Arabidopsis thaliana: one gene and its partners. The protein of the gene in region 3 interacts with the protein of the main gene of each other region in a pairwise test. Each region holds a gene or a part of one and is shown on either strand. Other genes may lie near its edges. The genes, in order: FSD1, NTMC2T5.1, AGO1 and AT3G02750.

The links.
Region 1: the proteins of AGO1 (region 3) and FSD1 interact in a two-hybrid assay, tested with the Arabidopsis thaliana proteins (one study listed by BioGRID).
Region 2: the proteins of AGO1 (region 3) and NTMC2T5.1 interact in a two-hybrid assay, tested with the Arabidopsis thaliana proteins (one study listed by BioGRID).
Region 4: the proteins of AGO1 (region 3) and AT3G02750 interact in a two-hybrid assay, tested with the Arabidopsis thaliana proteins (one study listed by BioGRID).

What each region holds. Positions count from the first base shown.
Region 1 is NC_003075.7:12,883,374-12,889,948, reverse strand, and holds FSD1 (Fe superoxide dismutase 1), read left to right. Parts: upstream 1-3,046; 5' UTR 3,047-3,231; exon of another isoform or gene 3,232-3,432; 5' UTR 3,433-3,447; coding exon 3,448-3,507; intron 3,508-3,793; exon of another isoform or gene 3,794-3,848; intron 3,849-4,270; coding exon 4,271-4,459; intron 4,460-4,546; coding exon 4,547-4,718; intron 4,719-4,793; coding exon 4,794-4,861; intron 4,862-4,966; coding exon 4,967-4,993; intron 4,994-5,089; coding exon 5,090-5,113; intron 5,114-5,201; coding exon 5,202-5,300; 3' UTR 5,301-5,649; downstream 5,650-6,575. Other genes in the region: MC2 (metacaspase 2), read left to right, coding at 1-479, 556-886, 1,104-1,224, 1,412-1,672, 2,152-2,211; AT4G25090 (Riboflavin synthase-like superfamily protein), read left to right, coding at 6,350-6,575. UniProt on the Arabidopsis thaliana protein: Destroys superoxide anion radicals which are normally produced within the cells and which are toxic to biological systems.
Region 2 is NC_003070.9:18,616,372-18,624,465, forward strand, and holds NTMC2T5.1 (N-terminal-transmembrane-C2 domain type 5.1), read right to left. Parts: upstream 5,587-8,094; 5' UTR 5,273-5,586; coding exon 4,485-5,272; intron 4,202-4,484; coding exon 3,960-4,201; intron 3,719-3,959; coding exon 3,700-3,718; intron 3,387-3,699; coding exon 3,181-3,386; intron 2,996-3,180; coding exon 2,886-2,995; intron 2,786-2,885; coding exon 2,687-2,785; intron 2,528-2,686; coding exon 2,053-2,527; intron 1,973-2,052; coding exon 1,884-1,972; 3' UTR 1,846-1,883; intron 1,443-1,845; 3' UTR 1,222-1,442; downstream 1-1,221. Other genes in the region: FTSH1 (FTSH protease 1), read right to left, coding at 1-559; AT1G50270 (Pentatricopeptide repeat (PPR) superfamily protein), read left to right, coding at 5,673-7,463; AT1G50280 (Phototropic-responsive NPH3 family protein), read right to left, coding at 7,486-7,818.
Region 3 is NC_003070.9:17,885,561-17,895,153, forward strand, and holds AGO1 (Stabilizer of iron transporter SufD / Polynucleotidyl transferase), read right to left. Parts: upstream 7,037-9,593; 5' UTR 6,868-7,036; intron 6,341-6,867; 5' UTR 6,333-6,340; coding exon 5,697-6,332; intron 5,610-5,696; coding exon 5,401-5,609; intron 5,325-5,400; coding exon 5,175-5,324; intron 5,090-5,174; coding exon 4,950-5,089; intron 4,852-4,949; coding exon 4,742-4,851; intron 4,649-4,741; coding exon 4,542-4,648; intron 4,452-4,541; coding exon 4,313-4,451; intron 4,242-4,312; coding exon 4,125-4,241; intron 3,657-4,124; coding exon 3,549-3,656; intron 3,451-3,548; coding exon 3,379-3,450; intron 3,029-3,378; coding exon 2,906-3,028; intron 2,818-2,905; coding exon 2,655-2,817; intron 2,567-2,654; coding exon 2,307-2,566; intron 2,190-2,306; coding exon 2,047-2,189; intron 1,948-2,046; coding exon 1,885-1,947; intron 1,800-1,884; coding exon 1,736-1,799; intron 1,653-1,735; coding exon 1,517-1,652; intron 1,421-1,516; coding exon 1,347-1,420; intron 1,269-1,346; and 10 more. Other genes in the region: AT1G48405 (Kinase interacting (KIP1-like) family protein), read right to left, coding at 9-54.
Region 4 is NC_003074.8:591,604-598,224, reverse strand, and holds AT3G02750 (Protein phosphatase 2C family protein), read left to right. Parts: upstream 1-2,469; 5' UTR 2,470-2,767; coding exon 2,768-3,022; intron 3,023-3,133; coding exon 3,134-3,553; intron 3,554-3,638; coding exon 3,639-4,085; intron 4,086-4,162; coding exon 4,163-4,624; 3' UTR 4,625-5,018; downstream 5,019-6,621. Other genes in the region: AT3G02760 (Class II aaRS and biotin synthetases superfamily protein), read left to right, coding at 1-23, 103-243, 329-637; AT3G02740 (Eukaryotic aspartyl protease family protein), read right to left, coding at 5,136-5,287, 5,389-5,460, 5,541-5,616, 5,686-5,773, 5,983-6,056, 6,149-6,311, 6,403-6,621.

The DNA of each region.
Region 1 (6,575 bases), on a different chromosome or scaffold from region 3:
GTTGCTGGTGGACTGCTCCAGCTGTCGTACGCCGCTTCACCTTCCTCCCGGAGCCACCCGAATCCGCTGCGCCATTTGTCACGCCTTCACTCTCATCGCCCCCGAGCCCCGTCTCCAATCTCACGCGTCGGCGAGCCCTTTTCCTTTCCCCAACTCATCTCCGGCTCCATCCACTTTCATCTACCCGCCGCCAACACCTTCTCCGTACACTCACGCGCCGCATGCACCGTCTCCATTCAACCACGCGCCTCCAGATTCTTACCCGTTCACTCACGCGCCTCCAGCATCGTCTCCATTCAACCACGCGCCGCCGGGTCCTCCACCGCCGGTACATGGACAGAAGCGAGCGGTGATAGTCGGGGTTTCTTACAAGAACACAAAGGACGAACTCAAAGGATGTATCAATGACGCAAACTGCATGAAGTTCATGTTGATGAAGCGTTTCCAATTCCCTGAATCTTGCATTCTTATGCTCACCGGTATTATTCTATATCATAAAATGTCATAATTTGTGTAACACGTAAAAGTAATGTTAAAAGTGTCAAAATGTTGTAGAAGAAGAAGCGGACCCAATGAGATGGCCAACGAAGAACAACATAACAATGGCGATGCATTGGCTTGTTCTTAGCTGCAAACCGGGAGATTCCCTCGTCTTTCACTTCTCCGGTCACGGCAACAACCAGATGGACGACAACGGCGACGAGGTTGACGGCTTCGATGAGACTCTTCTCCCGGTGGACCACAGGACTTCAGGTGTCATCGTGGACGATGAGATCAATGCTACAATCGTACGGCCGCTCCCTTATGGAGTTAAGCTCCATGCCATCGTCGACGCTTGTCATAGTGGTACCGTCATGGACTTACCTTATCTTTGTAGAATGGACAGGTACGAATTCAATAATTATTGACTTCTTGTTATGTACGTGTGTATGCAGACCTCGATAGCTTGTAGAAATGTTTAAAAAAACAAAAAACAAATGGAGACCATATAGTTCTTATATTGGTTATAAACCCTATACCCTATGAACTAACACAAATAAGAAACTGCTTATGCATAGCACATGTAACCCATTTTTTTTTCTTTTCTTGATCCTTCGTTTTAGGCTCGGAAACTATGAATGGGAAGACCATCGGCCTAAAACAGGAATGTGGAAAGGTACGAGTGGCGGTGAAGTCTTCTCCTTCACAGGCTGCGATGATGACCAGACCTCGGCTGACACTCCGGTACATTCCCAACTATTGGCCATATAAATAATCTCTCTAGATTTCAAACAACTTTTGATAGTATTTAGCAAGTCCAGTCAAACCATCCACATTTTATAGTTTCACCGAGATGTTATAGTCTTATAGTAATTACCCCATACCTTCATTCTAAAAGTACTCCTCACAAAGAAACGTGTGTGCACTACAGCAATTGTCAGGGAGCGCATGGACGGGGGCAATGACTTATGCATTCATTCAGGCCATAGAACGTGGCCACGGGATGACTTATGGGAGCTTGCTGAATGCAATGAGATCAACGGTTCATGAGATCTTCGACAAAAACAAAGGTAGAGAGCTTGTGGAAGTGGGAGGTGCTGATTTTCTCTCTACTCTTCTTGGTTTGCTCATCTTAGGCGCTTCTCCTCCTGATGAGGAAGAGGAAGTAAACCAAGCCCCTCAAAAAACTCAGGTGATCCATTCATCTATACTAATTATTTTTATCTAAACTTAATTATCATGAACAATTATGATCATTAGAGCTCACTCATATAATATTGCAATATTGTTATGGCTATCTCCAACTTAGAAGGATCTTCATGGACCAACATATTTTAGTTTTTTAATGATTGGTCATACATCTTCAATACATCAAAAACATTAGTTTGAAATTTCACATTTTTACATTAGATATTAGAGATCCAAAATGATGTAGTTCTCACCTATAAAAAGAAAATTCATAATAGGGATCGATTAGAAAATATGTAAGGAAATACTAATTAAAGTCACGAAATTAGTCTTGTCTAATGGAAAATTAAATCGGTATAAATTCTAAATATAACTTGATGTATATATAATTGATATAGTAGTGAATGATTTTTGTAGCAAGATTATGTGAATTGATTTGCATTGTTGACAAGATATGTTGGTATATTGGATTTGCTTCGGCAGGAACCACAGTTGAGCGCTAACGAGGCATTTGCTGTATATGAGAAGCCCTTCTCTTTATAATATCACCTTAAGAAGACAAAAGAATGAGTATGAAATTTCGGAGACCAACAAAAAAAACTTTATTGAGCTTGGAGTGAAGCTATATATATGGGGCAAGATCATAATATGTTTATATCGGCCTTTTCATTAACTGAAAATAATAGTTTTGAGAAATATATCAAATGGTAAACAGACATCATCTTTGAAAAATACCATCAATGAAGTTAATATTGTTATTGGCATATGGTTTACCCATCTTAATTTTAATGCAACCAAACAAACAAGAAACAAAAACTGTATAAGATACAAGGTGTTTTACGATTTTCCGTCTTAAAACCGAAATATTTTTGTTCCTACGACTTTAAACGGACTTTGCTTAAGTTGTGTGCATGTAAGCTCGTCGTCCCTCGATTGTCATCAACATTCACCAATATCAGCCTCTATCACACGAGTGAAGGTGGTGATTCGGCTTAATGAAAACAGAGAAATATTTCAATATGATTCCTATTAAATTTTAAATCTTTTTTCTCAATCTCTAGATTTTCATTAAAAGCATCATGATTTTTTTCCACTATGTTCATATATCTCTATCACAGTTTTAGGTACATTGTAGAAATTGGATAAGATACGTCATACGTCTAACATGAATTTGGTCTAGCAAGGAAGGTTTGAGATAATAAGTGAAAAGAAAACACAAGATAATAAATTATAATTTATAAATGCTTTATAGTATTGAAAAATAAGATGATTTTTTTTTTTTTTAATACCGGATTGGCTGATCCACTTATGATGACTCAAATGTTATTAAGTTTCAAGACAATTTATGATGACACAAATCACAATGAGTCAATAGTAGCCACGAAGCCAGAAAAAAAAAATGTACTACAAAAAGATAATGATAGTACAAAATGATACGTCGTACTGCCACATGTACGACACAACTCGATTACCAAAAAGCAGAGCCATCCAACCATAAAACTCAAAACACACAGATTCCACTGGCGTGTGCTCTCCTCACTTCACTCGTCCTTGAAACTTGAGGTACTGATTCTATCTCTCATCCACATCTTAGTTCATGTTCGAGTTTCTCTGGTCTCTTACTCTTTCACCTAGAAATTTGTTTGGTCTCCCAACAACATAAACGCATGTATACATTTTCATGTGTCTTTGTAAGGATATTGATTCATTTTTTTGGGCAAATAGATAATCAATTCAATGCTATGTTTTGTCTGAAATGTGCAGCTTCAATTACAAAGAATGGCTGCTTCAAGTGCTGTCACCGCAAACTACGTCCTCAAGCCACCTCCATTCGCACTGGTACTTTCTTATGATAAAGATTGATATTGTCGGCAAATGTCATTTTGTTTTCGTTGGACTATAGATTTTGCTTTTCTATTACTAGATGATATAACTTGTTGCTCCCACAAAGCCCTAAAAATATCTTTTCATCCTCGTCAAAGGCGTTACAAATGATTTTCAGCTATTATTAACGGAAAACCAATACCAAAAAGGCGTTACAAATGAACTCCTCTAATTCATATTTGAAGAAAATAAAAATCGAATCAATCTACGCATTAGTGTTTTTCCCGGAAATTAATTGTAGGAACGGGTCAAGTTGGGTGGTCCATATTGGGTAAAGGCCGTGAATGTTCTAGTTGGTACGTACTATCCGACATTTGTCAAATGGGAAATTTGGGTATGGCCATAGGGGTTAGGTATGGGTCAACATATCTGAAATGATTTTGAAACCATAGCTTTCATAGAACATTGATTCTTAATTGACCCTCAATTGAACTAGTGAAAATTTGTTGTTTTTGTATACAAAAACTATCTCAATCTGACCCGTTACTCAAACTACACTAAACTGTCCAAATCATATTACTTTGTAAGAAAATTGTTACGTTGTGTAATGTCAATGTTAGATTCATAAATCTTTAACTAGTATATGACCACTCCTAGTTCAAATTCAGATGTTCCTTGGTCTGATATTTTCGTTCCTTCTAGTGGACCTATTGGTTGAGTCATGAGTGAGAGCAATAGCCAATATGATGAAATGTTTTTTTGATATAAAATTGGAAAGGATGCTTTGGAGCCGCATATGAGCAAACAAACTCTGGAGTTTCACTGGGGAAAACATCACAGAGCTTACGTGGACAACCTCAAGAAACAGGTTCTTGGAACCGAGCTTGAAGGCAAGCCCTTAGAGCACATTATCCACAGCACTTACAACAATGGTGATCTCCTCCCTGCTTTCAACAACGCTGCTCAGGTGATAATTAACAAACCTATTTTTAGTTTGAGATTATAAAATGGGTGTGTGATTGGTTAGCTGATGATCCATTGGTTATGTTTATAGGCGTGGAACCACGAGTTCTTCTGGGAGTCAATGAAACCAGGTGGTGGAGGAAAACCATCAGGAGAGCTTCTTGCTTTGCTTGAAAGAGATTTCACTTCTTATGAGAAGTTCTATGAAGAGTTCAATGCTGCTGCAGCCACTCAGTTTGGAGCTGGCTGGGCCTGGCTTGCTTGTAAGTGTTTCAAATGTTTAAGAGCTTTAGATAAATATATTAACTTCTTCCTTACTCTTATCTCAATGCTTTCAGATTCAAATGAAAAACTCAAAGTAGTGAAAACTCCCAATGCTGTGAATCCCCTTGTGCTCGGCTCTTTCGTAAGTTTTTCATTAAGGAACTTGAATACACAATTTACTTGATTAAATATCACCGTAGAGTTAATGCAAATCCTTAACTTTTAATCTTGGTTAATTTTCTTGCAGCCATTGCTTACCATTGATGTCTGGGAGGTAAATAAACACTTTTATAGCTTGTTTGTCTTAAAACCTATTTTCTTTCTTACAAATTTTATTGATAATTTTTGTTTTCTTTTGCTACATGAACAGCATGCTTACTACCTTGACTTCCAGGTAACAGCTTATTCATAATTGTTAGCAACAAGGTTTTCTTGAGTTTCTTTGTGTTGTTGATTGTTTCAATCTATTTGTATATGAGCAGAACCGAAGACCAGATTACATAAAGACATTCATGACCAATCTTGTGTCTTGGGAAGCTGTAAGTGCCAGACTTGAGGCCGCCAAGGCTGCTTCTGCTTAAGCAAATTTCTGAACAATTTGACTTCAGTGACAGTGAGTTCTGCATCACCGAAGTCTCTTATAAAATATTGGTCGCTGTAATAAGGACACAGCTCTCTTGTTGTGTATGTGTCACAGAGTTCTTCATTTTGCTTGTGTAATGAACAATTAAACATGCTCTTTTCTGAGTGTGTGTGCGTTTTGTGTGTGTCAAGTTTTTCATCGTCTCCTTTATTAAACTCAAATTGGCACCTACCATCAGTAATTCATAGTTTGGCATGGCCCATTATTCAATTGGACATTTATAGTTGTAATAACGTGGATGCCCCTGTCCCATTAAAAAATCACAATTCATCACCATAGCTGTTAACAAATCTCGCATTGCTGTGCTAAAAAAATGAGAAATATTGATATAATAGATCATTTTGATTTTTGGATAAACAAATCAGTTTACAATGTTAAGGTGGAAGACTTTAGACTTGAACTAAAAAACAAAGATGTTAACTGTAACAGGGTAAGGACGTTGGTGTTTACTATTTTGATATTTTGACGTTGGTTAGGTAATTGACTTAGAGCTTTTGATAGATGAATGATTAACAAAGGAATTAGAAGATGGACAACCATGTTGGAAGAATTTTGAAATATTACATTTTTAATACTTAGGTGTTAATTGTCTGATGAGGTTTTGTATTCGGGTCTTTAATTAATCTACCAATGAAGAGAGTTGACCAAAAAAGGCAAAAAAAAATTGTGGGCCAGTCGGCCCATGTCTTATTTTCTTTGAATATGTTTAGCTTATTTATCTCTCTGTATACATGTTGGAATATATTTTGTGCGTTATCTAATATAGTGGTTGTTGATTGTGATGGTCTGATGGACGTAGCCGTTTATTTAAAAAGAATAACTAAGCGAAAATTTCAGGTCGTCTCGTATTACATGCCAAAGAGTTTCTAAATCCGCCAGAGCATTGACTTGAGATGCAAGAAACAAATTATTTCGTTTAATCATCATTTTCCTGGCTCCCCCGTTTTGTTTCCCTTTGAGATTGTCCGTTAAAAAGGGGACGAACCAATGCAGAGAGTGAGCTTTGAAGTAAAGGACACAGAGGCGGAGAAGAGCAGCAGCGAGATACTGAGCGGATCTTTGCCGTCGACCTACCGAAATCCGGCGATGGAAAACGTTGGAAACGCGGTGGATGATGGATCGAGCGTGAAGAACAATCCGAAACTTGATATGCAGAAACAGAACGGTTTGGTGAAGTGGTTCAAGAAGTGCTTGACAATGGTATCTGGAGAGA
Region 2 (8,094 bases), 730 kb from region 3:
TCATAGCCAAGATATCAATAAGGTCAGGGTCGTTAGGGACGATGACTGAAGCACGGCGATTGTCGACGGCAGTAAGCTGAACAACAGAACCATCTTTGCTGAATCTAACTCTCTCGACTTTCCCTTTCTTCACAGCGTTAAGAAACTCGCTGTATCGCCACTGTGATCCTTCTGGGAGATCCGATGATTTAGGACTAGGAGCCTTAAGTATCTCGTTCTGAATGAACAATGGCGATGGCGTCGATGGCTTCACAGCTTGAGATTCTATAACGACAGACGGAGAAGCTGGTTCGTCCACTACAGCTAAAGCTAGCGGCGAAGATGAAATTGAAGATAGTAGAATAGCTGCTAAGGCTACTTGCGACGAGAATGGCGAATTGGGTTTACCATTTGGCGAATTTTCGTCTTGAGACGATCGAGTGATTTGGTATTTAGCACGGGAGACGAAGGAGAAAGGGAAAGAGGGTTTTCTGGTGGTTTTAGGGGTGGGAGATGAGATTATGATATGGGATCCTAAGAAGAAATTTGAAGAAGAACGTAGTAATGAGTTAGAAGCCATTGAAGCAGCTCTGTTTCTTCTTCTTCGTCAAGACTTGTCAAAATTCGAATTGAATTCTGAGAGAGAAGAAGCTACAAACGAGAAACGTGGAACAAAGGATCTTCTGGTTTTTAAGGAAGAGGAGATTAAGCAGAAGCCATGACTTCTCGAGTCCTTTCTACGTTTGCTACCTCATATCCACTCGTTAACTGATCGCAAAATGCCACAAAAATTAATTAATTTAATGTGCAAATTCGAAAAAACTTTGTAGTGGTCGGACAGTTCGGTTTAATTTTAAAAATTTAATTCAGTTCGGTTTGGATTATGTTCCGGTTCGGACAACTTCCCCACCAACTAGAACAGTCTTGTAAGCCTCAACAGAACATGGACGTGAGAGCTTCATTCAATACCATAACCATTATTGAGTCTGCCATCAGTGAGATCATGGAATTCAGCGGCGACACAACTAATCTGTCCCATGTTAACAAGAGGCTCCACCTTTTCGATCAGTCTATCTTTGTCAAACTTTATTTGAGAATCATGAAATACCACAATCTTACCATAAGGGAATGGAAATGAAGGATGGTTCCACGAACCAAGTTCTGCTCCTACTACCAATCCTATTGAAACAATCGATGATTATATTTTATTTCCGAAAAGTCAGAATTTTCTCTTTTTTTTTTGGTCAAAATATACAAAAGTTTCTATCTTTTTTTATGTACTGTATATCAACCACAAGTGTAAAGAGTAACACAACAGTGAGAGCTTGGACAGAATAGATCCAAACCTTCCTGCCTTTAGTAAGAGTCCCTCTTCTAATGGCTATTTACATACAAAATTAAATTACAAAACTGAGACCTCGTTATAAGCCATATCTAAGGTTGAGAAGAGATGACCACCAGACCTGCCACAAAATAAAGAGGCCTTGATAAGCTTATCACACACGGTAGGCAAAAGGTTGACATGAAAATATCTGGACTGAACTATGTCACACAAGGTAGAAGAATCAACTGACTCATTTTCAATTCACACATAATTTTATCAAATACAAAGCCTGATGTCCAGTTTTGACTTTCGGTACACTACAAGCAGCAGAAAGAGTAACAGAATCTACAATTTTAATGTTTCAAGTAGCATAATTATTCTAGGAAAAAAGAAGTTCAAGTTTGGTTCTTGACTATATGAACAAACCAGTGTTGTTCCACGTTCTAATATAAGGAAAACAACTGACAAAAAGAGAATCTGTCTGTCCAATCACATCAGGGGAAGAAATTTCAAGTTCTCGAGGTATATATTAAGAGACTTACTTGCAACAGAAATCTCCAGCGAGATGTATAGTACTATACTACGGGTTGAAGAAACTTGAGCCTTCCATGTTGATAGCAACAAGAACCAATATACCCGTGATAATACCGAACCACAGTAATGCTAATCCTGAAATTAGGAGGTTTTACAGTTTCAGGTCAAGAAAGCATAGAAAGGAAATCATCGTAAGAGATTGAGCCTCGGTATACCTCCATCACCGCCAGCTCCTCTACCAGAATTTGCAACTAACAAATCCAAATTTGATACATCTGCGTTTCTTTCAGACCCCTTACTAGTATCTGGCTTAGAAGGTACTGGTGCCCCAAGTGAGTCACCACCATCAATTATACCGTCTCTAGCTTCAGATGAAACTATGCCTTGAAACTCCTCACTCACAATCAATGCAGACAACACGTTCATAAATGACTCTTGATCAATATCATCTGACGAAAGCTTTCCCTTCCGCACAAATGAGCCAAGTTCTTCTGAATCAGACATTTCATCGTCAGAAGTATCAATGGCTTTGACATTGGTCTTGTCATCTTCTTCCTCCTCCACATATGATTTGTATGTAAGCCGTAGCAGTATCTCACCCGCAGATCCCTTTCCAAACAAACTCCAACCACCACGCAAAACCACAATTCTGTCTGTAGGAACCGTATCTTGCAGAAATCTGAGATCAACCTGGACATATAACTAAATAATAAGGCTATGCAGACAGTAACATAAATATTAAGCAACATTCCTCAAGCAATCATTAAAGAGATCCACAGAATACGTACTCAACGCCTATTATTCTACAGATTACAAAAAAAAATATGTACCCAAGGAAATATTATTTACCTCTCCAGTACCAATAGCCATATCAGCAAACCCAAGACGATCATTGACCTCAATTTGTAATACTTGCTCTCTAGGATTTGAAACAAGGAATTGAAAGTCCTGCAAAGTTAAAGAATACACACTTATCTATTTACATTTCAATCCTTAAATAATCATAATTCACCACCAGATTGTGAATGAACCATCCAAAGCAGTTCACCTGATTCCAAATTGGCTGACCAGGAGCCCCAATGACAGTAGTTTGACTGTTCCTTTTACTACGGATAACTTGATCCCCTAATCTGAGAATTGCATATGGATCCGTTTTACCTGTTACCAATTACCGAGGAAAACAAAACATCTCACCAATAGACTCAATTAGTATAGCTACTTTATTCCCAAGAAAGTCGACTGAACTTGCACAAAGAGGCTGATACTTCAGCAATAGATTGTCTGTCTATTCCACTTTTCCAACTATGAAGGAAACACTGACATGTAAAGGAACTATAGCTTACCAAAAAACATGTATCGAAGTTTCTGGGCGTCAACAAGAGTAACAGATAGTTCCCCGACAAAATCCTTATTGCCTTCCTGCATTTCTCCTGATTTCAGGTCTTCTAAAACAGGTCCAACAGCTTTTCCTTTCTGAAAGTCCAAGACAATTTTCTTCGGTCGGACAAATAATCGAGGCAAATCCACAGTCAGCAGTTTGGTCAAGAACCTGTAAGAGACGATGCTGGGTAAAATAATAGGAGGGAAGAAGGAACCCACTATTGCAAAACGTCGAGGAGCTTAAAGACTCCACAGTAAACAAAATGAAATACTGGTATCTAACCAGAACAATGCACCAAAGCATCTTACACTATATGCTCGCTAAATTAGTAAAAGTTCATTGCAGTTAGATAAAATACAGAACATCATCTAAGCAAGCAAAGTGGCCCTTTCTATCCACTAAGTCCATGTAGTATTGAACAATGATATGGACAGTTTTTCAATATAAAAAATCGTGAAGTAACAGCCACAACAGAACTTACATTGATAGAACGGGAATTCCTGAATTCATAATCCATGCCATTCATGACAAAAGAAAAATAAAATGTGTGAGTTGCGGCGAACGCGAAAGCTAAAACTCTCTTCACTAAAACAATCGCCGATGACTTAACCTTTCCCCATTATATCGTCACCAGTTTCAAATTTCACTAAAAAAGGCTTGTCTGTTTAATTTTTTGGATAGGAAGGAAGCAACACAAACAATATCACGGGAATGGATCAGAAGACCAAGATAAACGCATACCCATTAGATTAAACAATCTGAATGCTGCAAGTTGAAATGTGACCTTTGGAAGTGATACAAACGAACATGATACAGCTCCCACCCAAGGTTGTGTCGGTATTAATCTTAGTTTGACCCAAAGCTCACCATCAATGTCAAAATCTCGGACACCAACTGGAACAACTATTGGGATAACACCGAATTTCAAAGAGAGCATTAACAACATGCGTGCACCGCCAGTATACCGAAGGCCAATTTGGTACCTATAACAGGAAAGAATGACATGATAAGAAACCTCGAACTGAGCCACAGATAAACAGTTTGAAGTAGCCAATGCCCCAAATTATGTACATAAATCATGCTCAAAGAAAGGTCACTCTTCAAATGAAGATTATTTCGTGAACTCTAACTGAAATGAAAGCCAAATAAATCTCATCAAGAGATTCAATGGTTGCAAAACAATATACAATTGAAACCAAGTAAGAGCAATCCCAGCAATTAATCAACGCAGAAAACTTTGTTAGTACCAAACAAGTATACACGTACTGCAAGTCATTGGCACGGCGAGATGTCTTCCTCTCAACATTTCTGACAGACAACGGCTCATCCCCTAAAGAAAACTGCTTAATCTCAACTCTCTGCACATAATCAGGCTTTTTCAAGTCATCAATCACAGGCTGTAACAAACCAACGAGCCAATTCTCAATACCCGCTCTATACACTTTCCAGAGCTTCCCTAACACCATGTTGACCCACTCCACGGACTCTTTCCTTTGCAAATCCTTCTCTAGGAACAAAGAGAAGCTGGTGGGAACCTGTGGCCATGGCCCTACTCCTCGTTGGTTTCCATCTCCACCTGTTTCTCTTTGCCTCTTTCTCCAAGTCCATAGCTTATCAAAAGCAACACCAACGAAAAAGAAGAAGACGAATAGACTAATTACACTACGATTAATGGTCGGTGACGGAAGTGGATGGATTACACCTAACTGGGTCCTAAGCTTATCCACTATCGGATCTTCCCTAAAGTTACTGAAATTGGCTTGGTCATTGGACTCTTTCGAACTACCCTCGTCTTCAAATTCATTCGTAAACCTAGCAATTACAAACCTATTTGCAGCCTTTCTACTAGAATCCGTCAATCTTAGGTTTTTCGAATTCCCACGAAATCCACAGGAAATAAACCTAAAGTTCGAAATTTTGACGCTCGGACGCAGAACCCGACTCCTTGTAAAAAAAACCGCGCGGAGCTCATTAGAGCATGGACAGAGCAGAGTGCAAGACACATCAACAGGTAATCGGAAATCAAAATTCGAAGAAGAAGTTTGTGGAATCATCTATGAATCGTATCCGAAGAAGAAGGAGAAAAATAACGCATATCTTTAGGGCAATAACAGTTTCTCCAATGGCTCGTAGCAAAATCTGTAGAAGCTAACAAAGTTAGAAAAATTGCAGAAGAAGAAGTTCATTTTCTTCTCTTCTTACTTCTGTTTTTTTCTCTGGACTGTTTGACACGTGGATCGAACCCTCGTCTCCCCCTCTACGGCTATTAAAAAAAATATATAAAAACTAAACCGACTGATATTCAGAGTCACTTCGATTCAATTGAATGGGAATTTTGGTTTAATGTCGGTTCGGTTCGGTTCCTTTGAAATCTGAAATCTGAAAACTGGAAAATTCGAATTGAAGTATTAACCACCCCCTCTCTCTCTCTCTTTTGCTTACTTCTCAATTCACATGATTGAGCTCAAAACATTGCTTGATCTTCCATTACACTTTCTTCATCTCAAGCAGATCCATTGCTTACTCCTAACTTCTCCGATATTCTATACTCGTCGCGATCTCTTTCTCTCACGTCTTCTCCGTCGCTGCTGCACCGCCGCAACTCAATTCCGCTACGCTCGTCGTTTATTATGTCAACTCCAAACTCTGAGCATTCAACTATGGGATTCGCTCATTGGTCACTTCTCCGGCGGGATTACTCTCAACCGTCGGTTATCATTTCTTGCTTATCGTCATATGCGGCGAAACGGCGTCATCCCTAGCCGCCACACGTTTCCTCCGCTTCTCAAAGCGGTTTTCAAACTGAGAGACTCGAACCCGTTTCAGTTTCATGCTCATATCGTTAAATTCGGGTTGGATTCGGATCCTTTTGTCAGGAATTCGTTGATTTCGGGTTATTCTAGTTCTGGGTTATTCGATTTTGCAAGTCGTCTTTTTGATGGAGCTGAAGATAAGGACGTGGTTACTTGGACTGCAATGATTGATGGGTTTGTGAGAAATGGTTCTGCTTCGGAAGCAATGGTGTATTTCGTGGAGATGAAGAAGACTGGAGTCGCGGCTAACGAAATGACCGTTGTTAGCGTCTTGAAAGCTGCAGGGAAGGTTGAAGATGTTCGATTTGGGAGAAGCGTTCATGGGCTTTACTTAGAAACAGGGAGAGTGAAATGCGATGTGTTCATAGGAAGTTCTCTAGTAGATATGTATGGGAAATGTAGTTGTTATGATGATGCCCAGAAAGTGTTCGATGAAATGCCTAGCAGAAACGTGGTTACTTGGACGGCGTTGATTGCTGGATATGTGCAAAGCCGTTGCTTCGATAAAGGGATGTTGGTTTTCGAGGAGATGTTAAAGAGTGATGTTGCGCCTAATGAGAAGACTCTAAGCAGTGTTCTTTCGGCGTGCGCTCATGTCGGGGCACTTCACCGAGGAAGAAGGGTGCATTGTTATATGATTAAGAATTCGATTGAGATAAACACTACAGCTGGAACTACATTGATTGATCTTTATGTCAAGTGCGGGTGTTTAGAGGAAGCTATACTTGTTTTTGAGAGACTTCATGAGAAAAATGTGTATACTTGGACCGCGATGATTAATGGATTTGCAGCACACGGATATGCTAGAGATGCATTTGATCTCTTTTATACCATGTTGAGTAGTCATGTTTCACCAAATGAAGTTACTTTCATGGCTGTCTTAAGTGCCTGCGCTCATGGAGGTCTTGTGGAAGAGGGTCGAAGGCTTTTCCTGAGCATGAAGGGACGTTTCAATATGGAGCCAAAAGCGGATCACTATGCGTGTATGGTTGATTTATTTGGAAGAAAAGGTTTGCTAGAAGAGGCGAAAGCTTTGATAGAAAGAATGCCAATGGAGCCAACAAATGTGGTATGGGGAGCTCTGTTCGGCTCTTGTTTGTTACACAAAGACTATGAGTTAGGTAAATACGCAGCCTCCCGTGTGATCAAGCTGCAACCTAGTCATAGTGGGAGATACACTCTCTTGGCTAATTTGTACTCGGAATCCCAAAACTGGGATGAAGTCGCTCGGGTAAGAAAGCAAATGAAAGATCAACAGGTGGTGAAATCGCCAGGATTTAGTTGGATCGAAGTGAAAGGCAAGCTTTGTGAATTCATAGCTTTCGATGATAAGAAACCCCTTGAATCTGATGATTTGTACAAGACTCTCGACACTGTTGGGGTGCAAATGAGATTGCCAGATGAATTGGAAGATGTGACTGCTGAATCATGACTTGGGACGTTTACCATTTTCCTCATAAGCCTTCTCTGAAACTATCCATAACCTTCAAATTATATCCTCCTTTAGTCTTCAACCTCTCGGCTAATTTCTCTGTTATCTCGAGATGCAATACTACAGGCTTCTTCTTCTCTTCTGAATATCTACAAGAAAAACTCTTGTTTGCAACTTTAACATCTGAAGTTGTGTGTTCTTGATTCCCACATCTGGACTTGAGTGCTTCAATGGCGATTTCTGGAGGGATCTTAGGGTTTCTGGCGAGCTGTTTGCACGTCTCCATTGTTAGTTTCTTGTAGTTGAGACATCGACATATCTCTGTTCGATCTTGGGGTGTTAGATTCGGATGAGACTGTACAATAACAAAACAACAGAAATTATAAAGGAATCAATCATACACTGACATAATAATCATTATTTCTACAATTTTTGAAAATGATGAACTATTGTTAATTCCAGTAAAACATGTGAATAGAAAAGTACATGAATAATTGTTAGTCTTTGACATGTATTTCAAGTGTAACTGATAGTACCTTACCAGAATTATTCCTTTTTAAGATATTTTTACTAATAGTATTACAGAGAAAAACAAGAAGAAACATACAGTCAAGACTGTTGTGGCCTTGTG
Region 3 (9,593 bases):
AAGTGTACCGGAGAGAGATGGCAACTGTGGAAGAGGAGACTGAGAGGCATCCATGGATTCTGTCGATTGCTTTGCTGGTTAAGAGATGGAAGAGAAACTGCCAAACAAGGGAAGCTCAATGAAAATTCAAAAACCCCATTTTCAAATTATAGGGAAAAAGAAAGGCAAACGCATGAAATCAGTGAGAGAGATTGATATATGGCAATTAATGGGCTTTGAAGAATTTACCATAAATGCTGCAAATATCCGACAGGGTGAGAGAAACTAGAAAGCATAAAAGAGGCAGTAAAATCAGCCTAATTTAAAATTTGTAAATGTTCCACTTTAGGCATTTTCCACGCAAACCTCTAAATCAAAACCACATGTTTACTTGTGTGATAACGTCAGGATTTTAGTCCTGACTACATATAAAGAATTGTAGTCAGGATTTTAGTCCTGGATCTCAACGCTTATACCTACAATGTAGTAGTGTGGTCGACAATACAAACAACCTAAACATCTCTAAACACAAAATCTCTTGAATAAAGATTTAAGACGAGTTAAAGAAAGGATCAAAGTCTGTTTTGAATAATAAATTTTAGTAGTTGTCAAACAAGAGTCATAAAGCATCTCATACTCATAGAGAAAGAGTGATGAAATATCCAAACACACGATAAGTCTTAGAAAGCATACATGATATTCTTCATTAATTTAGGTCATAAAGATAGATAGAGGGTGAATCAACTCAGCAGTAGAACATGACACGCTTCACATTCTCTTTCAGAGCTGGGAGTGGCCTCACTGCAGCATTGACATTAGGCCCGCGTGTGCTTCTACCAGCCATTCCACCTCCACGTGCCATGCTCCCACTAGCCATTGAGCCACTGTCTGATGTCTCTGGCTCCATGTAGAATCGAGCCCTAAAAGCTGCTAGATGTGCATAATATGCAGGGGGAACTACAATATCCCAAAACAAAAAAAAAAAACATTGAATACTAAATCTCTCTCTTCTTTATATCAAAATCAAGATGACATTAAGGGATGGGAAACACAAAACTTACCAATTGAAACTGAGCGTGTGCATCTTGCATACCTGTACAAATCAAAAAGGTAGTTTAAATGTTACTCTTATTTTCCTTGCAATCTTGCAAACACTTGTAACAAGGAATATGTTACAAAGGTAAGAAATCTTACGTGTAACATAAGTTATTGGTCAGAGATTGAAGTCCATCTGCAGTAAAGTTGTTCTCATCCCAAAGAACGTGGTAATGAGCAGGTCGAGAAGTGCCCTGTTAATGGAGTTTTGATTTGTTAAACACTTCAAATAAATTCTCACCCACAAACTCATTTGAGATTGTAAATTATACCTGAATACCAGCATGACTACAGAGGTAAAAGTCAAACTCTGTAGGGTGGCAGATTTTAGAGTCCACAACAGTGCCTACAATTAACAAAGGGGTTAAAAACCAATGCAAGGGATTTTCAGCTGATTAGGTCTACGCACAAAAAGCTTGACAAAGATCCAAACTTGTCTCACCAGGTAAAATATTCCCACTTCTGTCCACCGAATGGCGATCATTGTGGTTCTGAGCAAACAGCCTCGTGTGATGACGCTTCTGCACCACCACAAATGTCACTGGTGGTTGATAACCTGCTTCCAGCGAAGCACAGGCCTGAAATGAGTTGAAATAATAATCAGATTAAACAGAAGAAAACGAGCACGCAACACAAGCCATTTGTTAGAAGTAACTGTTACCTTGCGGATGGCATCAAGTTCATAGAGCAAAACTTGGTAAAATTGTCCCTCACTGACTCCATCCCTGTGCAGAATAACCATATAATACATTTCAGAAAGAAAGACAGAAAGTTATTTAGTCAAGTAAGTGCCATAAGAAGAGTTAATACCTGTAGAAGATGATCCTTAGTGGTTTATGCCCAGTTGATCTACGGAAGGCTATGAGCAACTCCCTGTTCAAAAGTAAGGGGAGAAACGTACAGATCTGTTACTTAAGAGCAAGCTAAAGCTAAAACCCAATCACGAAAATATTAAATAACATCCACACGTACTTTATCATGCCACCAGTCACCACACCTTTCTGAGGATCCTTCCACTCTTTGAACAGATCCTGAATGAGCTCCTGCCTATGCGCTTGAGCGCAAACTAATCCAGCATATTTAGTGATTTCAGGCCAATCCTGAGATGCCACAACCTGAAAACAAAAATTTCGTTGTCAACAAAACAAGCACAATTTGAAAAGGTTAAGGCCATGAAAATAAACAAAAGCATCCATATACAGAAGTAGATCTTAAAGGAGAAGCTAACTTACAGCAGCAATAGATGGGCTTGAATCCTCTCCAGGGTGAGGGTGGGTAACATCAGCACCAAATATAATGGTGGGTCGATCACTGACTAGAGGAATCCGCCTAGATAGAGCATCAACAAGCACTGTGTTTCTTCCTCCAACCTTCACATTAATCTTCAGCGCAACATTAGCCATGTATTGTTTGCTCATCTTAAAGACATGCTTTGTCAGGCAACATTGAGAGACTATGCCGAGTTCAGTCTCACATATGCGTTTCAAATCACCTGCAATGGATATTATTAAGGAAAATAAGTTGAGAGTGTGTTCCTAAGCAGAAGTAGACAATGAAACATCCGAGACCATGGCTCATACCGTATAATGATCCATTATTATCGGGCAGAATGACAATAAGCAGATCAATTTCTTTTCCTTGGGAGAGTTTTGATGTGGCATCATGATATCTAGTCTTCAAGACCTTCTCTACTTGCTCAGGGCGAGCACTGACTGGTGGGAGGACTGGTTCCGGATTAAATGCCTGCAGGTAAGAAATAAAAAATTAAAGGGAAGGAATCAGTGTAGGAAAGGTTAATAAACTGATCAAGTTTGTGCTTCCAAAGACTCACCATGCCAGATACGTAACACATTTGAGCAAGTTCCTGACAAAATGTACGCGCTAGATTGTCCTGCACTTGCCTAGAAAAGTTGATGCAGATCCAATTATTCACCGTTCCACCATTGATCATTTTCTGCAGAGAAGACTCATATTAGCCAGACAACAGAAAACGTTGTGATCACTTTCAAAAAATAACAAAGACAAATTCAGTGTGTATCTACATAGCTACATGAACAAAATACTCTCTGCAACTAGTCAAGTGCCACACCCATACTCATATCAAGAGAATAGCATTTTAGAGTAATATGTCTCATAACAGACAAATAAATAAACAATTTTCTTGCCAATTACCTGGAAATATACAGCTCAGCCATGATTTACAAAATATTCACATAAAAATGACAGCATAGGTATATATAGGTAACACAAGCAAGAAACATGTAAGTGCATAGTTGAAAACCAGGAACATTTTCGTCTAGTTACCTTATTCATCATGTTCCATTGACCAACTTGTGGCAGACAAGTCCCTTCCCTTCCAGACTCGTGGTACTTAAGCTGCAGAACATTAAAATCAGATTGGAACCCTAATTTGAGTCATTAAGATACAGAGAAAAAGTGTAATAGCAAAGAGACAATGGGAACGATTACTATACCCATGGAGGAGGCAGTATACGAGCCTCAACAGAAGCCAGAGAAGTACTTATTTTGATGCCAAACTCTTGAGCATAATTATCTTTAGCATAATCATTGAGTTGCACCGTCTAGAAATCAGAAAATATTGTATAATGTTAGCAATAAACAATTGAGTTTTCAACAACAGCAGCCAGAAGACACACGCGCTGCTAAATTAAGAGCACAACTCTGAAGATGGTAATCTGCCTCACTATTTATGAAGTAAAGGCATCATCTCAAGGTAAATCACTCTCTTCAAGCAAACATATGCATCCAAGTAAAGAAGAAACAGGTTTTTAAGCCATTCATTCCATAACATCCTTTCAGCCACAAGTTTATATGATTAAAAACAAGTTAGATATGAATTGAGAAAATCACTTACTTCAAGTAAACACATGCAACCAAGTAAGAATAAACAGATTTTACAATGATCTATTCCACAATGAGGCTTTATCACCAGCATACATTATTTAAAACGACTATCAAGATAGGCGGACAAAAAGATACTCTTGATTCAAGTGAAGGAAAACAAAGTTATCGAAAATAAAGAAACATACCTGTAAGATATCTTTTTCTCGATCTATCGGGCGCTGACAGGTAACCTTCAGCAAAGCAGTGATCTGTCTCTCATTCAATCTTTTGGAATACCGCTGGCCTTCAACAATCTTGCATACCTGTGCAGCAACACATTAGAATCGGAAGTACTGGTGAGCTAATAAAACCTGATGACGTATTTCAAAGTTACCTCCATTGGTAAGTAATTAGGCCTATTAGAATTCCCAACTTGCAAGCATGGTAGTTGAGTGTGCTGAATGCGAAAACCATATGTTTCGTGGAAGTATTCTACAACAGATTTCTGAGTATTTCTTTCATCTACTGGGAATCTGAAAAGGATAAAAACAGAGAGTAAAAATTAATTTCATCAAGTTCAACATTCGCGAAATAAGAGTAGTAAATCTAAAACAAATACGCACGTCAATTCCCGAGTGGCCACAGCAGTCAAACCGGAAATGCGGTACTTCCGGCGCATGTTTCCTCGATGAGTCACTTCAACTTTGACACCTCTAAGAGCCTTTTTTATCTGTTGACAGAAGAAGATTCCAAGTCACTAAGCAAAGAAGAGTAGATTAATACAACATTTCACTTACTACAGAAAATGACAATTGATTCATACCTTAACACGATCAGCATCAGATAAAGGTCGAGAAGAAATATCCCGGTTAAGCAAATCACAGACAAACTGAATCACAGGGTTTGCCTCTATGAAGGCTGTCGATGACATATCTACAAAACAGACAAAATTGCAGCACAACCATGAGTTAAACATTCAAGGAGAACCAGATATCAAAAATTATTGAATGTAATACAGCAAGCCATCACACCAATATTGAGTGATAAGCCCATCTGTGTAGGACGAATGCTTTGGTAGAATCCACGCCAGCTCTCCAAGCCATCCCCCAATGATTGTTTTTTTCCTATATCAGGGGAATAAAAGGACCGGCCCACCGGAATATACCTGATTCTAACATGTTAGCAAAACTAAACCAGCTGAGACTTACAAGCATGGTAGTAAAGAAGCAAACATCCATAGGATGAGTAACCAGTACCTAGAGGTCGGCAGCTCACGAAGAACAATGTCAAGAACCTGCAGAGCTTCCTGTGGGGCATCTGATTGTTTCCCCTCCAAAAACATTCCTAGGTGATGCAGATCAGCACGTGCAACTAGCTTGATCACAACTTTAAATTCCCTTTCTCGTCTGTAAAATAGGAAAGATGTTATTATTCTGAAACTTCCTTATTAAAAAAATCAACAAGAAACCATAAGAACTAGACCTTTGACCTCCAGCCCCTACTTCTTCGTCAAGAAGATTGATTCTGAACTCCTTGGAGTTAAAGGGAAGTGGACCAGCAGTGTAAAGACTTTTTCGACCATCATACGCTGGAAGACGACTTCCAAGGTGAGAATCACGATAATTATCAACAAGTTGTTTCATCACAGCACGATTGACACCCCTTGATGTAACTTCCGGAGTAATGGTAACCTAACAGAAAGAACACAGTTGGTCAGGTAAATTTATAAATAGACATTAGATGTATGGTAGCTAATACTAAGGGAACACAAAACTCACATCATAATGGTGCAAATCCTTATCAGGCAGTTCAGCAAAGAAATGGTTAGCCTTCACAATGCAACGCTTTCCACTCTGTCCTTTACCAGGCCTCATTGGAAACTTGAAAGCCTTGCTAGAAGAAGGTATAGGCTGGATTGCCTGACTGGGAGCTCCTTGTTCAACAGAGAGTTGTTCAAATTGCTGAGCCAGAACAGTAGGTTCTGGTACCTGGGTAGGACTCACCTCAGACAGTGTAGGCTGAGAAGACACCGCTTGATAAGTAGGTGAGGTAGCTTGATGCAGCTCGGGAACTGATTGTCTCTGCGGTGGTCCAGAAGAAGGTCCACCTCCACGGCCACCGCCATACCCTCCTCGACCTCCTTGATGAGGAGGTCCTCCTCTTCCTCTTCCTTGGTACTCTTGTGGTCCTCCATACTGTTGTTGCTGTTGTGGTGGTTGCCCATATCCACGACCACCACGACCTCCCTGTTGAGGTTGAGGAGTATAACCCCTTCCACCTTGGTGTTGTCCTCCTCCCTGCTGGAAACCACCTCGCTGTGAACCACGTCCACCACCTGAGACTGGACCAGCTTCACGAGACCCAGAGCCTTCACCTCCTTCAGATGGAGCATCCGTTCTTCTCTTTCTCACCATGATGATTCCTGTGAAAATAACACAACCACCCAAAAACAGTGGGTCATTTTAAAATTATCCTTGAAAATAAGAAGCAAACATTGAAAACAAGCACAAAACTATCGAAATATAGAAGCAACAGAAGAAAACCCTAACTAGCTTCAAAAACAAACGACTCAGAAGCACGAAAACCAGTGATTAGCTAGAGAGATAGAAAACCAAATTCAACAGCCCAAAGCAAACATAGAAAACCTAGTAAGAAACAATCAAAGACCTAAACAGAAAACGAAGTAAGAAAACAAGCACGAAACAGTAAGAAATTTGAAGCAACAAAAAAAAAAAACCTAAATATCTTCGAAGACGAACACACACACCAAAACAGCTACGAAGCTAATAGATCCGAAATCGCAAAGATCAACTAAACATACAACACTATCAGTGAACCATAACACCAAAACGAAGCGGATCCACCCAATCGAGTGGAAAAATCGAGTTCATACGCAGATCGAACACAGATTAAGTGAAGAACAAACACCAAAACCGCCGCCATTTTTACCTGAAAAGCAATCTCTCGCCGGAGAAACTAAGATTGACCGAGAAAATCCGTACGAAACACCAACCCTACGTCGCTCTCGCCTCTCTGTGTTCTCTCTATATCTTTCTCTCTCTCTCTAACTCCGAACAAACGAGATAACTCAAAGAAATGAGATTTTACTGCTACACTTTAAATTCAAGGGTTCTGTGGTTAGAGTAAGTTACGGAATTACCCTCTTCATTAATAGCTGGCATATGTCGACGTGGCGAGTCAGGGTTGGGTCTTTGGAATGCTGACCCAAGGTCGTGTGTAGTCTTTCATTGTTTGTAATGCGCTGATGACGTGGAATTGCATAATGTTTTTTTAATCCGGAAAAAGAAGCTTCTCGAAAACAACAAGACGAAAAACATTTTTGTCGTTTATCTACCAAATCTTTTTTAATTTATTTTACTAACAGTATATGTATTATCCGATTAAATATGATTAGTGTGATGCGTTACCTCGATTAATCTTCAAGAGTTAGTTGCATTAATTTAAATATTTGTTTTAGACTATAATATACCTCGATTAATCTTGTAAAGTTAGTTGCATTAATTTACTATTTCAACGAGAGATAATGCATGCACAAGTGTTCAAAATTAGTAGACCGGCCGTTATTAATCTTATTATTAATCTGTAGTAACTGATTAGATCATAATTTTTGGCTTACGTTACGTATAAAGGATGTTATACAGTTAAGTACAACAGTTTAAAATTGGTACTTGTGTGTGAAGATAAAACAGTGGCTAGAGAAAATGTCGTGAGTCAAGGCGACTGATCGAGTAGTACTAACGAATTGTACATTGTCAAGGAGGATTTTTCATGCAACGAAAGGCAAAATCATGCGAATTACGTTTAGTTTTATAGACTATATATAAGATAAAGTGAATGATTATAGTATAGAGGTGAATAGAAGAACTATTTATTAACTGAGATGGGTCATGGGTGGTGGGGCAAATATGAATATAGCCATTTACTATATAGATAACTCTCTTTCGTTTTCATAGAAATATGACCTGCGATTTCGGGGAAGTGATGCTTTTTTACAGGTTTGCCAATTTTCTAACTTTAGGAATGTGGTGGCTGTCATCACGTGGTATGATTTGTTTGTTTAATTCAATTTACTTTATTTGATGGTTAGCTCTTTAATTTAGTTTCACTAGTTGATTTGCTTCTGTACCTCAAAAAAATTCATATACTCGTAACAAATCTGTATTATATATAATTGTCAAAGATGATTTATACATATATAACAAAATTGGTTGCTCGTGCGTGAAGAAGAAATATGAGCTAGAGAATATGTCACGAGTAATTACATGCTGACGAAAGGCTAAATCTTGGGGAAAACGTTTAGATTTCTTTTTGTGATAACTGTAAGTCTATCTCAAAATGATTCGTTTGCTTTGGGAAATAATGATTCTTTTCATTATAAACATTAATTATAATAATCAAACGAGAAATTAAAAGGCGAAAGATTATAATAATCAAGCGAGATGTATAGAAGAACTTATATATGATTTCTCATAACGGAAGAAGAACTTAGAACTCGTCAAGTACTACTACCTCGAGAGTCGAGATGAAGATTAACGGCATATAAGCATTGATATCAATCAAGATTGGTGTACGTAATTACGGGCACCAACGCACATGCATGCATGGCGAGTCTAGCTAGAACCGATCGAAAACGTTGGTTTACGATGGAGGTTTGTGTTCCTTATAAGAACTACGTACAGTTTGGCTCATGTTTGAGTCGATTGGTGCGGTCTTGACGAGAAACGACTCTCACGGCTCGGTTCTCTTCTATAATCAATAGATGTTTTTGTACAAGTTTACGTTTCCGTGTTAATTAGGTGAAAGAATATCTAGACACTTTACCTAACAAAAGATTGTCTAGATCATATAGTAAGGTGAAAAAACATAAAGTTGTAGACAAAATATTAGATGTTGATTGGAGTTCTAAATCGAGATATTGTAGGAAGCCGTTAAGAGGAAGAAAGTTACAAAAGACTTATGAAAATGATGTTTGAACGAAGACTTTATGTAAAACTCCATAAAGTCTTAGTTTTCCTTTGGAAGCCATTAGCGTATGGTTTGGAATTTGGATAGTGACCATTAATTCTATCGAAAACATTACTTGTAAGTAAATGCTATCTTAATCATCGGATATTATCCAATTCTCAATTATTTTAGAGAGTTATTATGCCTTCGAAATCTAGAAGTTTACATAAATTACATTTCAATTCCAATAATTATATCCATCACACACTCACCACACACACAAAGAAACATTCGATTCTCTGCACATATCATTTCTTAACATCAAGTCAATTAAATTACTTTGACCTCCGGTCAAAAAACTTCATGGACAGCGAAGTGACATGTGTGTGGGACTCATCAGGTTTTGTTCTAAGGTCAAGGGATGCATTGATTATGAGTTTTAACAAGCGGTAAAAAAAAAGAGATAAATGATGAATTGGTGGGGGCAGATCATATGAATTTACTTTACAAAACTCTCTTTCGTTTTCGTAGAAAAAAAGACCTGCGATTTTAGGCAAGTGTTACTTTATGACAGGGTTTGATAATTTTTCTAAACTTTGGGAATGTGGTGGAGTCATCACGTGGAATGATTTGTTTGTTTTAATAGTAGTATTCAATGTTACTTTTTCTTCATCTAAATTGATTTGACGGCTCTTTAGTTTTTCACTGGT
Region 4 (6,621 bases), on a different chromosome or scaffold from region 3:
AAGCTGTTTGTATAGGAGCAGAGGTAAAATCCCGCATTTTGGCTTCCTGCAATTCAATTAAAGAAATTGTAGTGTATGGCCTTTGAATTCTTCTTTCTGCAGGTGGGATCAATTGGTGCTGGTGGGCGATATGATAACCTTATAGGAATGTTTGGAACAAAGCAAGTCCCTGCGGTTGGGATGAGCCTGGGAATCGAGAGAGTGTTTAACATAATGGAAGAACTTAACGAGAAACAGAAACAAGTAACTTGCCAAACCCTTATGCTGTTTGTCGACCTTGTTTTAAAAGAATGGTTTTTGAAGTTTGTGTTATTTGCTATGAATATAGGTGATTCGACCAACGGAGACACAGGTGTTGGTTAGTATAATGGTGGATAATAAACTAGCGGAAGCAGCAGAACTGGTAAGTCAGTTATGGGGTGCTAAGATCAACGCAGAGTATCTAGTGAGCAAGAGGAAAGAAAAGCATTTCAATCGTGCAAAGGAATCAGGGATTCCTTGGATGGTGATGGTAGGCGAAAAAGAACTCAGTGGAAGTTTTGTGACATTGAAGAAGCTCGAGAAGGGAAGTGAAGAGAAAGAAGATCAAACATGTACTAGAGATCGTTTCGTGGAAGAATTGAAGAAACTACTCTGAGTCGTTGAAAAGAAATGAAAGGTACACACACTCACTCCTGGTTCGATGCCCAGACAAAAGGAATCACAGTGTTTTGCATTCTTTTTTGCTGTTTTCCTTGGTTTGTTTGATAATGGTGTTTTGCATGACTCATGATTGTGGAGACAAGAACTTAGAGATTTTGATGTTGATGAAGTTTTCCGTATTTAACTAATTAGAGGAGATATACGTAAATGTTAAGCCAATTATCAGAATTACGTTTCTTTCAAAAAAATCCTTATCCCTGATAACCTAATCTGCGATCTTATCAGAAAAAAGAAAGAAAAAATAAGTAGGAAATGAGGTGGAAGAATATAAGACCGAAAAGAGAAAATAAAACACAACAGGTAAGGTTGTCTCCAAAAATAAAAAAAGTGATCTGCAGATCTGTGTGATCGCATTTGCATGAGATGAGAGGAAGAAAGATGGTACGTGTTGGTTTCTGTACCTCTCTGCCGACATGTGGTGGCTTCAAGTAACTAAGGTCACTTGTGTATTCACATCTCACGTTTCCATTGACTATTGTCTCTACTCATTTTCGATTCAACTACTGAAAATATTTGGTAAGAAACAAACAGGCGATTTACCATCCCCTACTGATCATTTATATAAAAAAACAATGAGTTCTTTGGTTCCTTAAATAAGAAGAATTCACGGTGGTTATTCTTTTATATACAATAGTTTACTAAGCGATACAATAATTAAATCTGATAAAGAGTCTCACCCTCATGGGATGATTGACTGATTGTGAGACCCTAAATATGATTTTGATCTAAAAATAAATGATCTGTTTTATTGAATTTTCACAATTTTAATAATTCTTCATATTATATATTGATGATATTCTAGTGGATGTCGGAAAATTATGTGTAAGAAACGTCTTATCCAAGCCCATGTTAATTCTGCCAGCCTGAAACAAAAAAAATATAAATATTTTCATACATTAATACGTAAAAAATAATAAAATAATGATTCATCAGAAAGAAAAAAATCTGATAACATAATTTTTGGATGTATTATTAATATAGTTTTTTTATTATTAGAGAGAGTGACCCATCTCCATTACTGTTTCTATCTCTCTCTTCTCCATTCTCTCTCTCTATAGAGACACACAAAAGTAGAAAGACGAAGAAGAAGAGAGAACGGGTTTGTAGTTGGTGGTTGCGTTTCTTTCTCGTTTATATTCTTCTTTCTTTTTTGTTTTCATCTTTCAATTCCTTTTTTTCTTTTTTGTTTATAATCTAATCGACGCACGAACAGAGCAATCTCAAGCTCTTCTTCTTCCCCACAATTGAATCTGATTCTGAGATCCTCTTACCTTCTGTTTGATCTCTCTGTTTCCTGGTGAGTCTCCTTTCAGCTCGAATTCGAATTTGGCAATTCGATATTAACAAGTTTAGTTTTTTTTTTCTCAATGATTCTTCTTTTGATTGGTTGCAGACGAAGGAGATATTGTAGAGAAAGAAAGGGGTTCTCATGATTCTCGTGTTTTGAGTCTCTTTCCAGTATAAATTAAAACTTACACTTGTCTTTCTTTTTCTTTTTGGTGGAAATCTACGTAGATCTGTTCCTTTTTTCTCATAAAACTTTTGGGTTTAAATTTCTGTACAAATAAAATATTTGTAAGAAGAAAAAAACGTTTTTTTAAACAAGACTCGAAAAGGGTCAGACCCAGAAGTCTCATCTTTTACCTTTTTTCTTGGTCAGCTTTGAAAGGCTTCATCTTTTTTTTATTCCGTTTTTTTTTTCTTCATTCAATTTTGACGATTTGGGTTTAAAAATCACTGCTTGTGTATGTATGTATACTGGTTGTTGACGAATTAGATTTTGCTCAAAAGGGTTCTTGCACAAAGTAGCTGGAACTAAATTTTGAGGTTTGTTTCTTACAAACTAAATCATCATATCATCCTATTACTCTTTGTGGTGATCATTGGGATCTAAAGACGGGTTTTGTCTTCTTACAGAGATCTCTTTTGCATAGTTTGAATCATCATTGCTCTTTCCGGTGAGAATTGTGATCTAAAGGTTCAATCTTTCTCGCTGGAGGACCGTCGGGGTGATTGTACCATTGTTGGTCTGGAGTGCCTGCTCAATATAATCAGGGCCCTTAAAATGGGGTCCTGTTTATCTGCAGAGAGCAGGAGCCCTAGACCGGGCTCTCCTTGCTCTCCTGCTTTTAGTGTGAGGAAGAGGAAGAACTCTAAGAAGCGACCTGGTTCTAGGAACTCTTCCTTTGATTACCGGAGAGAAGAACCGTTGAATCAGGTTCCGGGCCGGATGTTCTTGAATGGATCAACTGAGGTTGCTTGTATCTACACTCAACAAGGCAAGAAAGGGCCTAATCAAGATGCCATGGTTGTTTGGGAGGTTTGTTAGATCCTCAAGTCTTCCCCCTTTTTTTTTTTTTATTGTTTCTAATTTGGGATCTGAGGTCCTATTGTTTCTTCTTCACTGATTGTTTCCTGTTTTCGTGCTCAGAATTTTGGTTCGAGGACAGATACAATCTTCTGTGGAGTGTTTGATGGACATGGTCCATATGGTCATATGGTTGCAAAGAGAGTCAGAGACAATCTTCCTCTCAAATTAAGTGCTTATTGGGAAGCAAAAGTACCAGTTGAAGGTGTTCTTAAGGCAATCACCACCGACACTGTCAATAATGTAACCAACATTAACAACCCTGAAGATGCTGCTGCTGCTGCTGCTTTTGTCACTGCTGAAGAAGAACCTAGGACATCTGCTGACATGGAGGAGGAGAACACAGAAACCCAACCGGAATTGTTTCAAACGCTGAAAGAGTCGTTTCTTAAGGCTTTTAAAGTTATGGATAGAGAGCTTAAATTCCATGGAAGTGTTGACTGTTTCTGCAGTGGGACAACAGCTGTAACCTTGATCAAGCAGGTATTGTCTCGGTTTGGTATGTTCAAAGTTTAAGTCTTATTCATTGTTTCATGATCTTTATTATGTATCCTCTGCAATATTGCAGGGTCAGTATCTCGTTGTTGGAAATGTTGGGGATTCCAGAGCTGTAATGGGTACAAGAGACAGTGAAAATACTCTTGTCGCTGTTCAACTAACTGTGGATCTTAAGCCAAATCTCCCAGGTTGGATTATCTTATGTGAATGTATGATGTTGTCCTGTGGATGTATGATGGATCCATTAATCATGTTTATTGGGTTTTTTTTTATTCCCTCAATTGAACTTGCAGCTGAGGCAGAGAGAATAAGAAAGTGTCGAGGACGAGTGTTTGCTCTTAGAGATGAACCTGAAGTTTGTAGAGTTTGGCTGCCAAATTGTGACTCACCTGGACTTGCTATGGCACGTGCTTTTGGTGACTTTTGCCTTAAAGATTTTGGCCTAATCTCTGTGCCTGATGTATCTTTCCGTCAGTTAACCGAAAAAGATGAGTTTATAGTGTTGGCTACAGATGGGGTAAATACTCTCTCTCTCAGACACATATCTTTTCTATTTGCAATTTTTGCTGCTCACATTTCTTTCTATTGTGATAGATTTGGGATGTTCTCTCAAATGAAGATGTAGTGGCGATTGTAGCTTCAGCTCCATCGCGCTCCTCTGCAGCAAGAGCTTTAGTCGAGTCTGCGGTCAGAGCTTGGAGATACAAATACCCGACTTCCAAAGTCGATGACTGTGCCGCTGTTTGCTTGTATCTAGACTCCAGCAACACAAACGCCATATCTACAGCTTCTTCCATCTCCAAACTTGAAGATGGAGAAGAAGAAGAACTAAAAGCCACGACTGAGGATGATGATGCATCAGGACCAAGCGGTCTAGGCCGTTCGAGTACTGTCAGGTCGGGGAAAGAGATTGCTCTCGACGAAAGTGAAACTGAGAAGCTGATAAAAGAAGCGGATAACTTGGATTCAGAACCTGGAACAGAGTATTCTGCACTTGAAGGTGTTGCAAGAGTTAATACACTTTTAAACTTACCAAGATTTGTGCCTGGAAAGTGAATAGAGAAAGAAGAGTTGAAGTGAAGAAGTTGAGAGGTGATTAATGATATCAAATAAATCACCCAAGACAAGGTACTGTGTCTTTTTGTTCTTTTGTTTTTCCTTTTCAACTTTCTTCATTGATCTCTATTCTTTTTTGAGTCATAATTCATTGGTTTTGGAACCTAAATTTTTGTCAGTTTTGTCTTTGGTTTATGTCTTTCTCTCTTGTTAATGTTTATGTTGTTTTTTGGTCTTGTCAGTAAAGAAGAGTGAAAAAACATCACATCATGTAATAATGGCTTGTGTCTGTAATTCTGTGAATCCCCTCAGGCTTAATTTTGTCAGTCTGTTGGGACAATTTCCTGTTTCTGTCTTTTCAAAAAGCTCCAATTCCAGTTACAGAATTTGTGTCAATCCCTTTCTCTCGATCATGAAAGTGGCAATTGTTTTTCAAGAAATGGGAATCAGTTCCTTTAATGATAAACAACAGAAGGAATAAACTTTGTCCCAAGAGGGTTTTTATCTGAAACTATAAAGCAACGTTACAGAAGAAAGGAATTAAGAGAGAAACAAGTGTAAGAAGTTTTGTAATAGCTAAAGAAGACGACCATGAGAGGTTGTGAGCACCAACAGTATAGATTGCTCCACTTTCTTCATCCTTGACTTGTATTCCTCCTGAGCCTGTGTGATTCAGTATTTCATTACAGTCAAAACACACCTAATACATCAAATCTCATAGAATTTGTGGCAATAAAGACAAAGATAGGATTTGTAATGCTTACAGTTGTGATTGGTCCATCCAATGACTTGGTTTTCGATATCGTAGACAACTAACTTGTTAGAGAGGGCCATGTCTGCGCAGCGAAACAAATCAACACTCAAATTTTTTCAGCAATTTCAGGATGAAAGTCATTTTTAAAAGAGATATATGTACCTCCAAGAATTGTTAATGAAGCTCCTCCTTTAGTCTGCAATCCACCATTTTGCCAGCCAAAACACCATGTGTCTTCCTATAGTCAGTTTTTTATGTCAGAACAAGAAAACAAGAACACGAAGTTAGAAACAGGAACAAGACTTACTCGAACTTGGAATAGATATTCCCGAGGATAAACCGCCAATGAAACAGACTTGTCAAACTGAAAAGTGACAGTTGGGAACCGATCTAATCTGTGAATTTGACAGAAAATTTCAGAGGGTCAAAACATCAAACATTATATACTAGGTGTATAAAATCAGTCATTCCATCAGATTCAGCTAAATCCAACTCCATTTCAATTCCAAAAGCAAAAACTAGTACATTTCCAGCAAATAACAGTACCATTTCAAACATTCTCACTAAACACCAAGAATGACAAAGCGATGAGTTAAATTCTTACTTGTCTGTATAATGGAAACAAGTAAACGACTCTTGAACTGTATGCAAAGTAAGCTCTGGATGTGAAGCCAATATCTGATGGAAACTCAAGGGAAAAAAACATAAGTGTTAAGAACTTTGTAAAATAAGACAGAAAGAATTCACAAGTAACAGAATATAGTACTGACCTCATTCAGTAACGGGTTATAAACAGCATCAGGAAGATACACCAGAGTTGTACCACTATCAATAATAACTCCTTTGTCATCTCCCGAATCAAAAGCATTCGAAGAAAGTTCTAAAACTGAATTACCAACTTCAATTGCATTGAGGTTGACACTATAGTGAGCTCTGTGAAAGAGTTGCAAACAGTGTAAGAAATTCAAAACTTCTTGACAAAGAACCAAAGAAGAAGAGCTTTAAGAGAAAGGCATTCACTTACGATTTAGAGAGCATAGGTGTAGTCTTTACTTTCGGCGACACGACTTCTCCAATGGCGAATATACCACCTCCATTGTTGTTATCCAAACAATGCGCAAAAGACCTTTTGACCTTTCCTTGTGAAGCTAGCTGCGATATAAACGATGAATTTGATTGTCCAAATCCCATTATCCCATCAACCGCAGCTTGTGACTCTCCGAGCTGACCAGACTGTTTAGAC